3 linked regions of the Arabidopsis thaliana genome follow. The protein of the gene in region 1 interacts with the protein of each later gene in a pairwise test. Each region holds a gene or a part of one and is shown in the gene's direction. Other genes may lie near its edges.

Region 1 (4,045 bases):
TAATATAAATTAATAAAAAAAGTTAGCTATTTTATCATAATTAACACTGTACACTGTTCTATGCATATTATAATTTATACACTATAATATTTTTAACTAAAAATGTATTCCATTATATTTATATACACGTATGTGCAGGGTCAGAATCAAGTAAAAATTACACTATAAGCTCTGTCATTATTAGTGTGATGATTAGTCATGGTATATTGGTCTCGGACTCTCGGTTAATTAATATAAATCGGCTGAAGAAATTGTTTTGCCCCGAGTTAAAAAGAATAAAACAAATAGGTGATGACCCATGAAAAAAGGTCAAAAGACAAAAGAGAATTTCTAGATTGCCACAAATTTCTAGACAAAAGACACAAGATAAGTATAAACCAATTCAACTATAAGAAACTGTGAAATAGCCACAAATTTTATGTGTCTATTTCAACAGTTTTATTTGTAGTATTTTGAGCGTTGACCCATTTTAGTTATTTTCACTAATCAAATTACAGCTTATTTGATTATATGCCATAGCTATTAAGTTTTTTTAAGATTGAGTTGAAAGATCCTTAAACCATCTTGATATATTTCTAAAGTTATACTTGATTATGTTTAAGATGACTTTTCATGGGTTGGCAATTTCCGTAAATCAATCGATTATGTAACTTGAAAAAAAGGACAAACATTATGGAGGCCAAATTAGAGTAACAAAAACCAAGTTGGTAGTGGACTTTTCGTGAAAAAAGAGAGAATTTGTAGTGGAATTCTAAGTATACATACAATTAATATTTGCAGTACTTATATATCAAATAAAAATAAACAGAAGAAGGTTAGTAAACGAAAACCTACTACTTTACTCCTTTTATTGGTAGGTACTCATTTAAGCATGCCTAGGAATCTCTTTCCTCTTTCTTGTTTCCTTTTCTATGTCGGCCTCTACTCTCCAAGAATGGGTGTGGAGATGATCATATGATGACTATGTTGATGATCACATGATGACACAACCATGCATGATACATTTCTTTGTCTCATGAGTCACGGTGACATACATGAATTTTCTAAAATACATGTGTTACAAATGTCATGCATAAGAGAAGCAATTGTACATAGTTTATATGATTATAGTTTTCATTTTCTAAGTAAGAATAGCATTCATTTTCATTTTTCAATATGATTTTAATTCATGTCACTAGCTAATAAAGGGGTATTACTAATCACTGTTATTTATATATCTCTTTGTTTAAATTGGTTTATGTGTATGTGTTGGATATTCATTTTGACTTTGGTGCTATGGTAGCATTTTAGTTCTTTGGTAATTTTCGGTTACCCACATCTTTTTGGATCGAATTAGAATGATAATGGACACGTCTAGACAGCGTAATAATTTGGTGATTACATCTAAGATTTTTGGAATCATATGTTTTGTAATTAATCAGAGTTATTCGGTAGTATGAGACCCCACACGGCTATGAACCATGTTACCATATATTCTAAGTGGGTTTTTAATTTGATAACCACCTACCTATAACTCTAAATTAGTCTATTGGATTTTTCTAATGATCATCATATAAATTTATTCTCTTTATATAATAGTAATCGTTGTAAATAATATATGTGTGTCTCCCATCAATCCGCATCACATTCGTAGAATCATACACGTATGTAAACGCATTTTTGACATACGGAAACCATACAAGTAGGATCTGTTAGGTGGTTATTAATTCAAAATAAAATCTCTTTTCATTAGAAAATATAAAGAGACTACTTTTATAAAAAGATTGGGATTGTAGTTCCTTGCCAACCACCCATATAATAATACTCCCCAACACCAAAAACACAACACAAACTTAGAAAAATGGAAGAAGAAAAGAGATTGGAGCTAAGGCTAGCTCCTCCTTGTCACCAATTCACTTCCAACAACAACATCAATGGATCTAAACAAAAAAGCTCGACCAAAGAAACATCATTCCTTTCCAATAACAGGTTCTCTTAATCTCTTCTCATGAATGATTTGAATCATTCTTGTTCATTGTAGATGTCTTATATGATAATAAAATAAAAATAAAAAACAAAATCCTGGTAATTCTACAGTTTTCGGAGATTAGTTTGGGTTTCGGTATCTAGTTATCAAAAAGTATTTGTGTATATGTTATAACTAGATATGGCTAAAACAGGGTTGAGGTAGCTCCAGTGGTGGGATGGCCGCCGGTGAGATCATCCCGGAGAAACCTAACGGCACAACTAAAGGAGGAGATGAAGAAGAAGGAGAGTGATGAAGAGAAGGAATTGTACGTTAAGATCAACATGGAAGGAGTTCCAATAGGAAGAAAAGTCAACCTTTCAGCTTATAACAACTACCAACAGCTTTCACATGCCGTTGACCAACTCTTCTCTAAGAAAGATTCGTGGGATCTAAACAGACAATACACTTTGGTCTACGAAGACACTGAAGGAGATAAAGTTCTGGTCGGGGATGTTCCTTGGGAGTAAGTTTTAAATCAAACAAAACTAATTCCATTTTTTTTTCTGGAACTGAATATGAACTTACTTTATCAAAAATTCATTTTATATCTATCTACTTTTGTTTTTGTCGAATTTAACAAATATTTTTAGTATGAGTTCCTAAAAAGAGTTTGGCCATTTCTCATCAGATTATTATTTTCCTTTAAAGGTCATATTTTTGGATATTTATCTGATAATAATTTGAATCATTGGACATATTAATGATATAGTTTACTTTATTTGTTAGGATGTTTGTATCTACTGTAAAGAGGTTGCATGTTTTAAAGACCTCCCACGCCTTCTCACTCTCACGTAAGATTACAATTCTTACGAAACTTTTTCATACATCTCATCACTTAATTACTGCCTTGAAATTAACTTATATATTTATTTATTTTTTCACAGCTAGAAAACATGGCAAGGAATAGAGAGAGGTTGGCCAAAATCATCAGTTCGATGGTTTGTTTTTAATGTAATTTTTGTGGAAACTAATGGGGTTTGGCTTTGATTTACTGGTTTTCTTTTTCACTTATGTACTAGGTTTTTGCTTGCTATGTTATTTCTTGTTTTGGTTGTAAATATGCTGTTCGTTTAAGAAATCGGGGGTTAGTATGTTATCGTGTGTATAAAAATAGTGTAAGCACGTAAGTTGATTACAATGCCTGATATGATTCATGCCTTCGTTTCGTTTTTTAGTAGGGAAAATGGTATTTAATTAGCGAAATCAAACCGACTCATTTTATGTTTTTTTCAGAGAGGTAAAAATCCAGAGAGCCTGTTTACTATGTATGAGTAAAGATTACCCGAAATAATAGAGAAATAGATACAAGAGGCTATCCAAGTTTGGTGGGTTCGAGTTTTATAACACCATCCAAAAAAAATTGTTGTTTTGTAACACACATGAGTACCAATTGTTTATTTCACAAAAGACAAACCATTTATTTCATGAACTGTAATCTTGTTATGTTCATGAATTATTTCGGTATAACATGTAATTAACTCGAGTAATATCTTAAAATAGTATTTAGAGTAAAGATAGTAGGGAGAAAGATACTTTATTTTTTTATAACTCATATAATTTTAAAAATTTCATACACCCAAAAATTGATTATGGAGTATGGAAAAACCATGTTAAATTACTTAAATTTTGGTGGCTAATACTACTCGAACTCAGATGGTGAAAACGACTTTAGACTTCATTAATATAAATATATATATATATATATATATATATATATATTTATATGAGTTTTTACTTATTGTCAATTGGTTTTGGAATTAGTAATCTATGAAACTTAACATAGTATCAGTCTATCAGAGGTTGAACATTCGCTGACCCGTTAATCCAACTTGGAAAATGGTCCGATTACCTCTACTAATTGATGATCCAAAGAAAAACTCAATTATGTCGAGATAGGTAAAAAAACATTATTTTAAAAGAAATAATGAATTTAAAATTAGTAAATAAAATTTAAAATTTAAAAATTCTCCTATAAATTTTGTGTCTCACAACTTTCTTTCAAACTTTTTTTCTTCAAAAATATACCGTATGCTGATG
Region 2 (7,238 bases), on another chromosome or scaffold:
ATTGATTTGCCGTCCACTTCACGCGTGCCTAGCGGTCAAAATTTTCAGACGCAAAAGCACCAAATAATGCTTTTCACTTTCTTTTTTTCTTTCTTCATTTCTTATTCTTGTTTTTTTACAAGTTTCCAATCTACATAAGACAAACTAACGTTTAGGAAGGATTCGGATTGATAATCTGCATACACTTGATTTTGATTGGTATCCTTTTCTTTGCATGTGGTTAAAATTTGGTATGGTAAGAGTTTTTATTTTTATGAATTTAGGATTATTGAAGGCATTGTCACAAATGATATACAGTAGAGAAAAAAAAAAACGATACAAGAGAAAACAATTGATAAGAATGATAAAATTATATCTAGTAAACCTCATCGTGGGATGTTATTCCTCGTTATACGTAATGACTATTTGTTCCAAAGATTTTGCTGATGGCACACAATCTTGGCACCGGAAATGAGAGTTTTTCCATTATCATCAAAAGCATGTTTCACTCCTTGCTAAATTTGAACTGTATATTAAAATGTGCTGCCAACAGCAAATTCCACACATTATATACTTGATTGGAGATCCTTTGATTCAAATATATCTTAGTGACAAACGCGTATCCGAATAAGTAGTTATGTTTATATAGATATTCTATCATAATGATGCTACTATATATCCACTTATAAATTATAATATGTTTGATTATTTTTCTCTAATATGTGATAATGTGGATTGTGTACTAATCCTATATATAACTTAACTATGCTCATTTGTATTTTGTTTATGAGTAATATTACATGAAGGAAAGCGATTTTTATTTACGTATGATTGATAAGTAATGATATGGAAAGTGATATGGTTTCATATCATACAATATAATACAATGACCGCATGTCAATTATTTCGTCGCAAGAAAACAATGGAAAGGTCAAACTAGAGATGTGTGCGTAAAAAAAAAAAATGTATGTAACTAAAAAGGTCTAAAGATGTAATGGTACACACTATACACAATTAGACATAATTACACATGTGGTTTAGAGTATTAGATATTAATAATGAGCAGAACAAGCTATGTTTACAGGTGCAGAGAACCAAGATATTCCTTTCTTTTGGTTGTTGTAGATACAAATATATTTTACAAAGCTCAATTTCAATACAAATGCAAGAACCACAAACAACAGTCCTTTCAATTTATTTGGAGGTGGTCTTAACTCTTAAGTATATATAAACAATACCACCTTATAACTTTTAAGTTTTAACTAAACCATACTTAAATCTTTTTTAATCTCTATACCAAATCTTGCAAATATCAAAATAACTTTTTCTAACCAAAGAAAGAAAACATTTTTGAAGTCCTTAACTTGGAAAGGAAAAGAACACCCGGGCAAAAAAGATTGGAAGATACACTTCCTCCCGTAACCTCTTTAGGCTTCGTGCTAATATACGCTATTTTGACATTCTCTCCTATCATACGCACCTTGTATTAGAGATCTCCCAAAGTCTCACCACTCACATCCCTTTTACGAAATCTCAGCAAGAAAAGATTAACATTTTGAGAAAAGTATATATTATTGCAACGAAAAAAGAAGCCTCCTCCTTTGTCATAAAGTTCTTAATCAATTTTAATTTATTGCCATAATCAAAAAACATTTTATATTTTACAAAGTTCTTGAAAAAGTAGGACACTTTTTAAAATAATATTCACTCATGGTACTTATTTTAAGCTTTATTATCTGCCTTATAACATAAGCATTGAAAGTACTTGTACATTCAACTACGTTTCTGTGCGTATCAGAGATTACGTGTGCTTACTCTACTTTATTAAATTTTTGACGTAAACTGTTCTAAAACATTAAATAATAATATAGATGTATCTATTGAAATACCAAAACTTTATTTTATAATTAATGGGAAACAATAAAATATAATATTATTCGTTTAAAGAGTCTAAAGCTGCAACGGCATCGCCATATACAGAAAGTTTTAAGCGCAGGATAAGAGCATGCACACTCTTTCCCATTTCCAAGCAAAATAAAACCTATACATACACATTTATACTAATACTCATATACATTAGAGAGAGAAGAAGAAAAAATGTGGGATTTTTCAGAGAAATAATTAAAAGAAAGCAAAAGTTTTTTTTTTCTTAAAAGCTTTTGTCTCTCTCTCAATTGCTTCTTGTTCTTGTTTGCATCCGGAACCAAAGAAAGAAACTGTGTGGTTTCATGATGGCACCTTTGGTTTCTCTTCTTCATTGAAGGGTCGAATTTGGTCTGAGAAAAGAAGAGTGGAGAGAGAGAAAGAGAAGAGGCAAGAGCCCCACAAGAGAGACATGCTTGTCTGTGTAGTCCCTATTTTGTATGTTCTTTAATCTCTCCCACTCTGTTTTTGTCATGTGTAAGGGTTTTGTCCTTCGATTTTGGAGTCTTCTTTAACCAAAAAAAAACAGATTCCATGAAATGGCTTTGTCTTTAATTCCTCTGGTTTGTCCTGGATTTATCTTCTTGTAGCCTCTTTGCTCAATAGAGCTCTTTTTGTCTCTTCTTGTATTAAATAAAATAAAATGAAGACTTAGTAAAGAAAAAGAAAAACTCTTGAGTCTTGCTAAAGCCTAGTTAGTGTTGAGTGTGGGAGAGACAAAACAGAACATTGAAAAATCTCTCTGTATGATGGCTTCATTGTCTTGTGTTGAAGACAAGATGAAAACAAGTTGTTTGGTTAATGGTGGAGGAACTATAACAACAACAACATCTCAATCTACCTTGCTTGAAGAGATGAAGCTGTTGAAAGACCAGTCAGGTTTTCATCTTCTTCTTTCTCAAGATTTTTATTAAAAAAGTTACCTTTTTAAGAATAAACTGTGATAACAAAAGGTTTCATAATTTATGCTAATGACATTTAGAAATTTTGTTACTTTCCCCTAAAAATGCGATTTTGAACATTTTTCAGGTACAAGAAAGCCGGTAATAAACTCGGAGCTATGGCACGCTTGTGCAGGCCCTTTGGTGTGTCTCCCTCAAGTTGGGAGCTTAGTGTATTACTTCTCACAAGGTCATAGCGAGCAGGTAACTTTGTGTGTCTTAAAGAACAAACAAACACATTGTACTTCTCTAGATCTTGTTAGCTCCTGTTCAAAAGGTTTGATTTTTTTTGTTCACTTTTTGACTTATTAGGTTGCTGTTTCAACCAGAAGATCAGCAACAACACAAGTTCCTAATTATCCGAACCTTCCATCTCAGTTGATGTGTCAAGTCCATAATGTTACTCTTCATGTACGCCAATCTTTCTCATTTGCTTCGTATCCAAACAAATTGCAACCAAGTTTGATATTTCTTGACAATGGTTTTGTTCCCCTTTGATAGGCTGACAAAGACAGTGACGAAATCTATGCTCAGATGAGTCTTCAACCTGTTCACTCTGTAAGTTTTGGATTCTTGCAACTTCCTTTTGTTTCATTTAAGAACTCATGTTGAAGTTGAATGAGTTTGAATGGTTTGTGTGCATCAGGAGAGAGATGTGTTCCCTGTACCAGACTTTGGAATGCTGAGAGGAAGTAAGCACCCGACTGAGTTTTTCTGCAAAACACTTACTGCAAGTGACACAAGCACACATGGAGGTTTCTCAGTGCCACGTAGAGCTGCAGAGAAGCTATTTCCACCATTGGTGAGCTTCTCTTTTCCTCATATGTTCCTATTGCTTTAACTGCTGCTAGCCTGCTAATGTTATGTTAAATACATTGCAGGACTACTCAGCACAGCCGCCAACGCAAGAGCTTGTAGTTCGAGATCTTCATGAGAATACTTGGACATTTCGCCATATCTACCGAGGTATAACCACTAGATTTGTCTCTTTCTCTGTTTAGATTGAGTTGGTATTGAGCTCAGTTCCTGCTTACATTCTCAGGGCAACCAAAGAGACATCTCCTAACTACAGGATGGAGTTTGTTCGTTGGATCGAAGAGATTGAGAGCTGGGGATTCTGTTTTGTTCATCAGGTGAAAAACCTTGGCTATTGAGATATTTTGGCTCTGACTCATTTTGGTGTTGCTTATCTTCTGACTGTCATTTGTCCTTTGAAAATGTGCCAAAAGGGATGAGAAGTCACAACTTATGGTCGGTGTTAGGCGTGCCAATCGCCAACAAACAGCACTTCCTTCATCAGTTCTCTCAGCGGATAGTATGCACATCGGTGTTCTTGCTGCTGCTGCTCACGCAACCGCCAACCGTACTCCTTTTTTGATATTCTATAATCCAAGGTTAGCTCAAAAGCTTCTTCAATCCTCAATGATATAAAACTATTTTCTTAGTTGTAACGTAACTTATGGTGTTTGTTCTCAGAGCTTGTCCAGCAGAGTTCGTGATCCCTCTAGCTAAGTACCGTAAGGCGATATGCGGGTCTCAGCTCTCAGTTGGTATGAGATTTGGAATGATGTTTGAAACTGAAGATTCCGGGAAACGAAGGTAAGTTATCCGTAAACTGCAATCTTTCTGTTTTTGTTTATCAAATTTGGTTGTTCACTTATACACGTTTTGGTTGTGTATTTAGGTACATGGGAACTATTGTTGGAATCAGCGATTTGGATCCGTTGAGATGGCCTGGTTCTAAGTGGCGTAACCTTCAGGTAGAATGGGATGAGCCTGGATGTAATGATAAACCTACTCGGGTCAGTCCATGGGATATCGAAACACCTGAAAGTCTCTTCATTTTTCCTTCTCTGACCTCAGGACTCAAACGTCAGCTCCATCCATCTTACTTTGGTGAGTAAAATATAAGTGTGCCTTGTTGTGAACTTTACATGAGATTTGCTGCCTTAAAGTTTTGTTATGAAATATGCAGCTGGTGAAACTGAATGGGGTAGCTTGATAAAACGGCCACTTATACGTGTTCCTGATTCCGCGAATGGGATTATGCCATATGCATCTTTCCCTAGTATGGCTTCGGAGCAGCTTATGAAAATGATGATGAGGCCTCACAACAACCAAAATGTACCATCTTTCATGTCTGAGATGCAGCAGAATATTGTAATGGGGAATGGAGGTTTGCTAGGAGATATGAAGATGCAGCAACCCCTGATGATGAACCAGAAATCTGAGATGGTGCAGCCACAAAACAAGCTAACAGTGAACCCATCTGCTTCTAATACGAGTGGCCAAGAACAGAATCTTTCACAGAGTATGAGTGCTCCTGCTAAACCTGAGAACTCTACACTCTCTGGTTGCAGCTCTGGTAGAGTCCAACATGGACTTGAGCAGTCAATGGAACAGGCAAGCCAGGTTACTACATCCACAGTGTGTAATGAGGAAAAGGTTAATCAGCTACTTCAGAAACCGGGTGCTTCGTCGCCTGTACAAGCTGATCAATGTCTTGACATTACTCATCAGATTTACCAACCACAGTCTGATCCAATAAATGGATTCTCTTTCCTGGAAACTGATGAGCTGACATCACAAGTCTCTTCCTTCCAGTCTCTTGCCGGATCATACAAGCAACCATTCATTCTATCCTCCCAGGATTCTTCAGCTGTTGTGTTACCGGATTCCACAAACTCACCGCTGTTTCATGATGTGTGGGACACTCAGTTGAACGGTCTCAAGTTTGACCAGTTCAGTCCCTTGATGCAGCAGGACCTTTATGCTAGTCAGAATATCTGTATGAGTAATAGCACAACCAGTAACATTCTAGATCCTCCACTCTCAAACACAGTCCTTGATGACTTCTGTGCCATCAAAGACACTGATTTCCAGAACCACCCTTCTGGTTGTTTGGTTGGAAACAACAACACTAGCTTTGCTCAAGATGTCCAGTCGCAGATCACATCAGCTAGCTTTGCAGACTCACAGGCCTTCTCTCGCCAAGATTTTCCAGATAATTCTGGAGGCACTGGTACATCTTCAAGCAATGTTGATTTTGATGATTGTAGTCTGCGGCAAAATAGTAAAGGCTCATCATGGCAGAAAATTGCGACACCCCGCGTCCGAACCTACACTAAGGTAAAAAGATTATCTCTCATTCATTCCACAAATTTCTTGTGTCACAATCTGACATGAAACTTTGGGGTTTGGGTAATGTTTTGACTTGGCAGGTTCAAAAAACCGGGTCAGTCGGGAGATCAATTGATGTCACAAGCTTTAAAGACTACGAGGAGCTAAAATCTGCTATCGAATGCATGTTTGGATTGGAAGGACTACTAACTCACCCACAAAGCTCGGGTTGGAAGCTTGTATATGTTGATTATGAGAGTGATGTTCTGCTTGTAGGAGATGATCCATGGGAGTAAGTCTCTCTCTCACTGTTCTGTGAATCCATTAACTTCATCTGACTATCAGTCTTACAATAGTTTTCCTTACATAACTACATAAACTGGTGCAGAGAGTTTGTGGGATGCGTAAGGTGCATAAGGATATTGTCGCCAACTGAGGTCCAGCAGATGAGTGAAGAAGGGATGAAGCTTTTGAACAGCGCAGGCATTAACGATCTTAAGACTTCTGTTTCATAAATGTAACAATATAAAAATGATCTCATGCTGATTTGTAAGAAAAAAAAGAGAGTAAGAAATGTTCTTTTCTCCAACTGGTAGAGGAGAAACCATCTTGTTGTAAGCATTTGATGTGTTGTTCCGATTTGAGACCTGAAACTATATTCATATTATGTAGTAGAGTGATGAATGAATCAGTAGTTGAGACAGTCTTAGAAATCTTGTGATTATTTTACTCTTTTTTCTGCACAATGTTAAAGATAAAAGTGTAGAAAATCATCTTAAAAACACTAGGGATAGTATAAGTACTACTGTGATGGTGAGCCAAATAATACTCGCTAATTAATTCTACATTTGTGGCATAAAACCAAGAAATAATTTCAAATGTATATAAAACTTATATTGCAGTAAAGCCAGGCAAGAGAAAATAGAAAAATTGCTCTGCTGCTAACAGCAAGAGGCAGAGAGCATGTGTGGTATGCTAATTCTGCATCAGTCTCTGTCAAATCTCATTCTTTTTGCATTCTGCATATCAGAAGTGTTGATATTACCATTGTTTAGATTCCTCGGCTGGTAGGGTGTAGCATCGTGCTGGTACATACAATTAGCTCCATGGCGACAACCCCTTGCGCTGTTGAAGTACATGCAAGCCTTCATTATCTTGGGTTTTGAATCCCTTGGCCTCTGGTTATTATTACTGCTATTTACCATCTCCGGGTTAGGTCCTCCTCCAGGTTGGAGGTTGTATCGATAACCGAGATGTTGAACTGGCGGCGTCTCT
Region 3 (4,303 bases), on another chromosome or scaffold:
TGTTCTCAAAACTGTGTAATATGGAGTAACTATTTTTCTTCAGCTTCGAGAGTCAAAGGGCATGACTACTATCACGCTACGACCACATTCTGGAGAGGTGTGTTATTTCTTCCTTTGTGCTAGATAAACAGTTTTCAGTTACAGTTCAGTGGAATTTTAACATGTCTACAAATTTCAGGCTGGTGACATTGACCACTTGGCTGCTACGTTTCTAACATGCCATAGCATCGCACATGGAATCAATCTGCGAAAGTCTCCTGTGCTTCAGTATCTGTACTACCTCGCCCAGGTTTGTGGAGACTGCCTGCATGTATTACATATGTATTATTGTTTCTGTTCTAAGAAGACATTTCTTTTGACAGATTGGTCTGGCCATGTCACCACTGAGCAACAACTCTTTGTTTCTAGATTACCACCGGAACCCGTTTCCTGTGTTTTTCTTAAGAGGTCTCAATGTTTCTCTGTCTACTGATGACCCCCTTCAGATTCACTTAACTAAAGAACCTCTCGTGGAAGAGTATAGCATAGCTGCATCAGTAAGTCATAATCTTTCCATTATGCAGTCTTGCCACACATCATAGGCCTTGAAAAGTTGATTATATTTTTAAAAGTCTTATTAGTTATTACCTTTAAATGATTTATACTGATCTTCTGCAATTGCAAACACGAAGAACAATGAAATTTCTCTCTATACATCCTTTTCTTCTAGGTTTTAGTTATATTTATGTATTAACTGAAGATGATAACTGGATTTTTCAGGTTTGGAAGCTGAGTGCGTGTGACCTGTGCGAGATAGCTCGTAACTCAGTGTACCAGTCAGGTTTCTCACACGCCCTGAAGGTACTTGTTATATCAACATGGCCCATAGTATGAATGAACAAGATGTCTCTGTTCCGATCTACTAATAATACTAACTTGTTGAGATGTTCCAGTCGCACTGGATTGGAAAAGATTACTACAAAAGAGGACCTGATGGAAACGACATTCACAAAACAAACGTGCCACACATAAGGGTGGAGTTCCGTGACACGGTATGGAATGAAATATATTTATTCTTCACACAAGTTAATTTCTCTTTGTAGGAAAACAAATTAAAAATATGAAGTTGATGCAGATCTGGAAAGAGGAGATGCAACAGGTTTATCTGGGCAAGGCTGTTATCTCTGATGAAGTTGTTCCATAAAAACCACAATCAGAAATGGCAAGACGTAAGAATCCAACATGTATGTAACAACTCAATGATCTTATCACTTCTGTTACAACATTTTCTTATGATGTCAATGATTGAATTTCAGATTGCAGGGGAACAAAGAGAGCATTTTGAGAAGTATACGAAAGCAGGAACCTAGTAGATAGGGTAATAATATGAGTGGCTCTGTGCCCTGAGAAAGCGATTAGGCTGTGCCAAAATCTTATTGTTTTATAAAGCTTTTTAGATAATGAGATACAAAGAGACCAGTTGAGAACCGGTTTTAATATAATGGATTTCAGTTTTTGGATTACATACTGTTTTAACTTGGATTCAGATTCAATTTTTAATCAGAAATAGCATTATGTTCGAAATCCAATTTTGTTTGTTTGTTTTGGTTCTGTTTTAAACCATACTGAGATCTGTTTACCGGATTAAACACATGTTTTTGGGTCACATTGGTAGATTTGGCTTGATCATGAAGTGAACTAGACAAATGTTCCTTTTGTTTCATAACAGACTGAAGTATGGAATGTGTAAGAAAAAAGAAACTAAAGCGGGTCCCACTTTTCCGAATTATGGTATTTAAAACCCAAGTATCATAAGGCCTTAATAACAGTCCAATTCAGGCCCAATGGATAAAATCCTATGTCAAATAAAAGAGCTCATCATTTTCCACCGATAACTTTTCTCAGCTCCGACAAAAATGGCTGCAATCACCATTTCTTCCTCCTTGCACGCCTCAGCCTCTCCGCGTGTTGTTCGTCCACATGTTTCTCGAAATACCCCTGTGATCACCCTCTATTCACGCTTCACACCATCCTTCTCCTTCCCATCTCTCTCCTTCACACTCCGTGACACAGCTCCGTCTCGTCGTCGTTCCTTCTTTATCGCCTCCGCCGTCAAATCTCTAACGGAGACGGAGCTGCTTCCAATCACAGAGGCTGATTCAATCCCGTCCGCTTCCGGTGTATACGCTGTATACGATAAGAGCGACGAGCTTCAGTTCGTCGGAATTTCTCGGAACATCGCTGCGAGTGTCTCTGCTCATCTCAAATCTGTGCCGGAGCTTTGTGGCTCCGTTAAGGTACTTATCCATGATTTCATATAGAGGAGTAGCATGTCTGTTACTATAACGAAGGATTCTTTGTTTTGTTGTGGTTGACTTTTGTTTATTACTGTTCATAGATTTGGGAAGTGTTTTGGTAAATGAATACTACAAAAGTTCATCACTTTAGTTCCAGAGATAGTATTTCATATCATTAGGATCACTATTGTTTGCAAAACTAGAGCTAATGAAGTTCTTGGTTCTGTTGTTGGTAAGAGTTCTTTTAACAACACTTACCACACATTATGATTAGGAGATGCATCAATAGTTCATTTTGTATATGTTACTTAGGAGTTAGGACTTGTTTTTTTAGCATTTTCTTTTGATTAGTTTTTTAGGGAAATTCTACTCTATAGATACAGGACAGTGCGCATTGGCGAGATTTGTCGAGGTTTGAGAGGTATATCGGTTTTGTACCAATGGAGAGAACTGATTCTCTTTGGCATTTTGATTACCATTCTGTGTCAGGTTCTTTTAATTAATAACAAGAGCTTTTGTTTTTTTTGTGTCCATGATCCTTAACTGTATCAGCTTACAACAGTCAAATCTAAAGATTGCTCTTGAGAAATTTACATTTTTATGGGTTGTATTATTATCTTAAGAATTTACATTTTTCCTCTTTCTATCATTTATTTGTCACTTATTGCTTATATTTTGCTTATGATTTACTTATGTTATGATTATTTTAGTGTTTATTTGCTCCATTGACTCAATAGGACTTTGTTTATGCTCATGTGATGGATATTGACAAGTTTTGGTATTGTTGATATATCTTCCATAACTGATTTCATCATTGTTTTGCTAGGTTGGAATAGTAGAAGAACCAGATAAAGCAGTTTTAACACAAGCATGGAAATTATGGATAGAAGAACATATAAAAGTAACTGGAAAAGTTCCGCCGGGGAATAAGTCAGGGAACAACACATTTGTCAAACAAACTCCGAGGAAGAAATCCGATATCCGTCTCACTCCAGGTCGCCATGTTGAGCTCACGGTTCCTTTGGAGGAACTGATTGACCGTTTAGTGAAAGAGAGCAAAGTGGTAGCTTTCATAAAAGGATCAAGGAGTGCTCCTCAATGTGGATTCTCACAGAGAGTTGTTGGGATTCTTGAAAGCCAAGGAGTTGATTATGAAACTGTTGATGTTCTTGACGATGAGTATAATCATGGGCTAAGGGAGACGCTTAAGAACTACAGCAATTGGCCAACGTTTCCACAGATATTTGTGAAAGGAGAACTTGTAGGAGGATGTGATATTTTGACCTCAATGTATGAAAATGGTGAACTTGCCAATATCTTGAACTAGTTTCATCCGATTTTCTTCTCTATTTCTAGTTGTAACTCCAAACATTCATTATAGAGAAAACATGCTTGGATTCTCTTCCATAGTTACAGATTCGTTTTCTGTTTTCCGCATTTATAAAAGGTTACAGATTCTATACAAATCTAAGAGTAGGTTTAAAACGCATAACCATCCACTAAATTCACCTATTTTGTGGTCATTTAACCAATGATTTTTTTTTTTTTTTTTTTACACTAATTGTCCCTTTAAATATATATGTTGAAACAAAACATAATTGGAAATGGAGTTAAGTAACTATTGTTACGTTAAATGATTTAATTGATTAATTTAGTAGCATTCTTATTCTTGTAGCACGTTTATTAGAGAATTATTGTTCTTCTTTGACATAATCTTTGGGTGAACTAACACAAAATATTCATTTTAAGTACTAAATTCTCATTTGTAGGATGAATATCTCAAAAATAACACAAATATTCTATGGTATTCATTTGTTACAACTTATATGAGTAACAAACGTTCATGAAAATTGAAAAATATGATGATGACGAGGTTAGTTTATGGGTTGTATTTTCTTTTTATTTTTTTTTTGGAAACTGAAAAAAATTAAATGAACAAATAAAACAACAAGTCAACGGTCTCAAAAATTCGATTACATAAAAACAAAACAATAAAAAAATATAAGTCAGACTGTAAAATAAGTTGA

The links. The genes of interacting proteins can lie anywhere in the genome.
Region 2: the proteins of IAA28 (region 1) and MP interact in a two-hybrid assay, tested with the Arabidopsis thaliana proteins (3 studies listed by BioGRID, with this or other methods).
Region 3: the proteins of IAA28 (region 1) and CXIP2 interact in binary tests that used the Arabidopsis thaliana proteins (3 or more experiments, as listed by UniProt).

The regions. Positions count from the first base shown.
Region 1 is NC_003076.8:9,031,640-9,035,684, forward strand, and holds IAA28 (indole-3-acetic acid inducible 28), read left to right. Parts: upstream 1-1,564; 5' UTR 1,565-1,840; coding exon 1,841-1,968; intron 1,969-2,159; coding exon 2,160-2,471; intron 2,472-2,734; coding exon 2,735-2,799; intron 2,800-2,892; coding exon 2,893-2,915; 3' UTR 2,916-3,501; downstream 3,502-4,045. UniProt on the Arabidopsis thaliana protein: Aux/IAA proteins are short-lived transcriptional factors that function as repressors of early auxin response genes at low auxin concentrations.
Region 2 is NC_003070.9:6,884,705-6,891,942, forward strand, and holds MP (Transcriptional factor B3 family protein / auxin-responsive factor AUX/IAA-like protein), read left to right. Parts: upstream 1-1,964; 5' UTR 1,965-2,648; coding exon 2,649-2,781; intron 2,782-2,931; coding exon 2,932-3,047; intron 3,048-3,155; coding exon 3,156-3,254; intron 3,255-3,344; coding exon 3,345-3,401; intron 3,402-3,489; coding exon 3,490-3,645; intron 3,646-3,724; coding exon 3,725-3,809; intron 3,810-3,885; coding exon 3,886-3,976; intron 3,977-4,072; coding exon 4,073-4,237; intron 4,238-4,319; coding exon 4,320-4,442; intron 4,443-4,527; coding exon 4,528-4,739; intron 4,740-4,818; coding exon 4,819-5,972; intron 5,973-6,064; coding exon 6,065-6,255; intron 6,256-6,351; coding exon 6,352-6,478; 3' UTR 6,479-6,700; downstream 6,701-7,238. Other genes in the region: AT1G19860 (Zinc finger C-x8-C-x5-C-x3-H type family protein), read right to left, coding at 6,950-7,238. UniProt on the Arabidopsis thaliana protein: Auxin response factors (ARFs) are transcriptional factors that bind specifically to the DNA sequence 5'-TGTCTC-3' found in the auxin-responsive promoter elements (AuxREs). Seems to act as transcriptional activator.
Region 3 is NC_003071.7:16,030,647-16,034,949, reverse strand, and holds CXIP2 (CAX-interacting protein 2), read left to right. Parts: upstream 1-1,780; 5' UTR 1,781-1,895; coding exon 1,896-2,276; intron 2,277-3,102; coding exon 3,103-3,603; 3' UTR 3,604-3,765; downstream 3,766-4,303. Other genes in the region: FAC1 (AMP deaminase, putative / myoadenylate deaminase), read left to right, coding at 44-97, 179-289, 363-536, 760-840, 933-1,031, 1,115-1,183. UniProt on the Arabidopsis thaliana protein: May only reduce GSH-thiol disulfides, but not protein disulfides. Participates probably to the maturation of iron-sulfur proteins and to the regulation of the redox state of the BOLA proteins.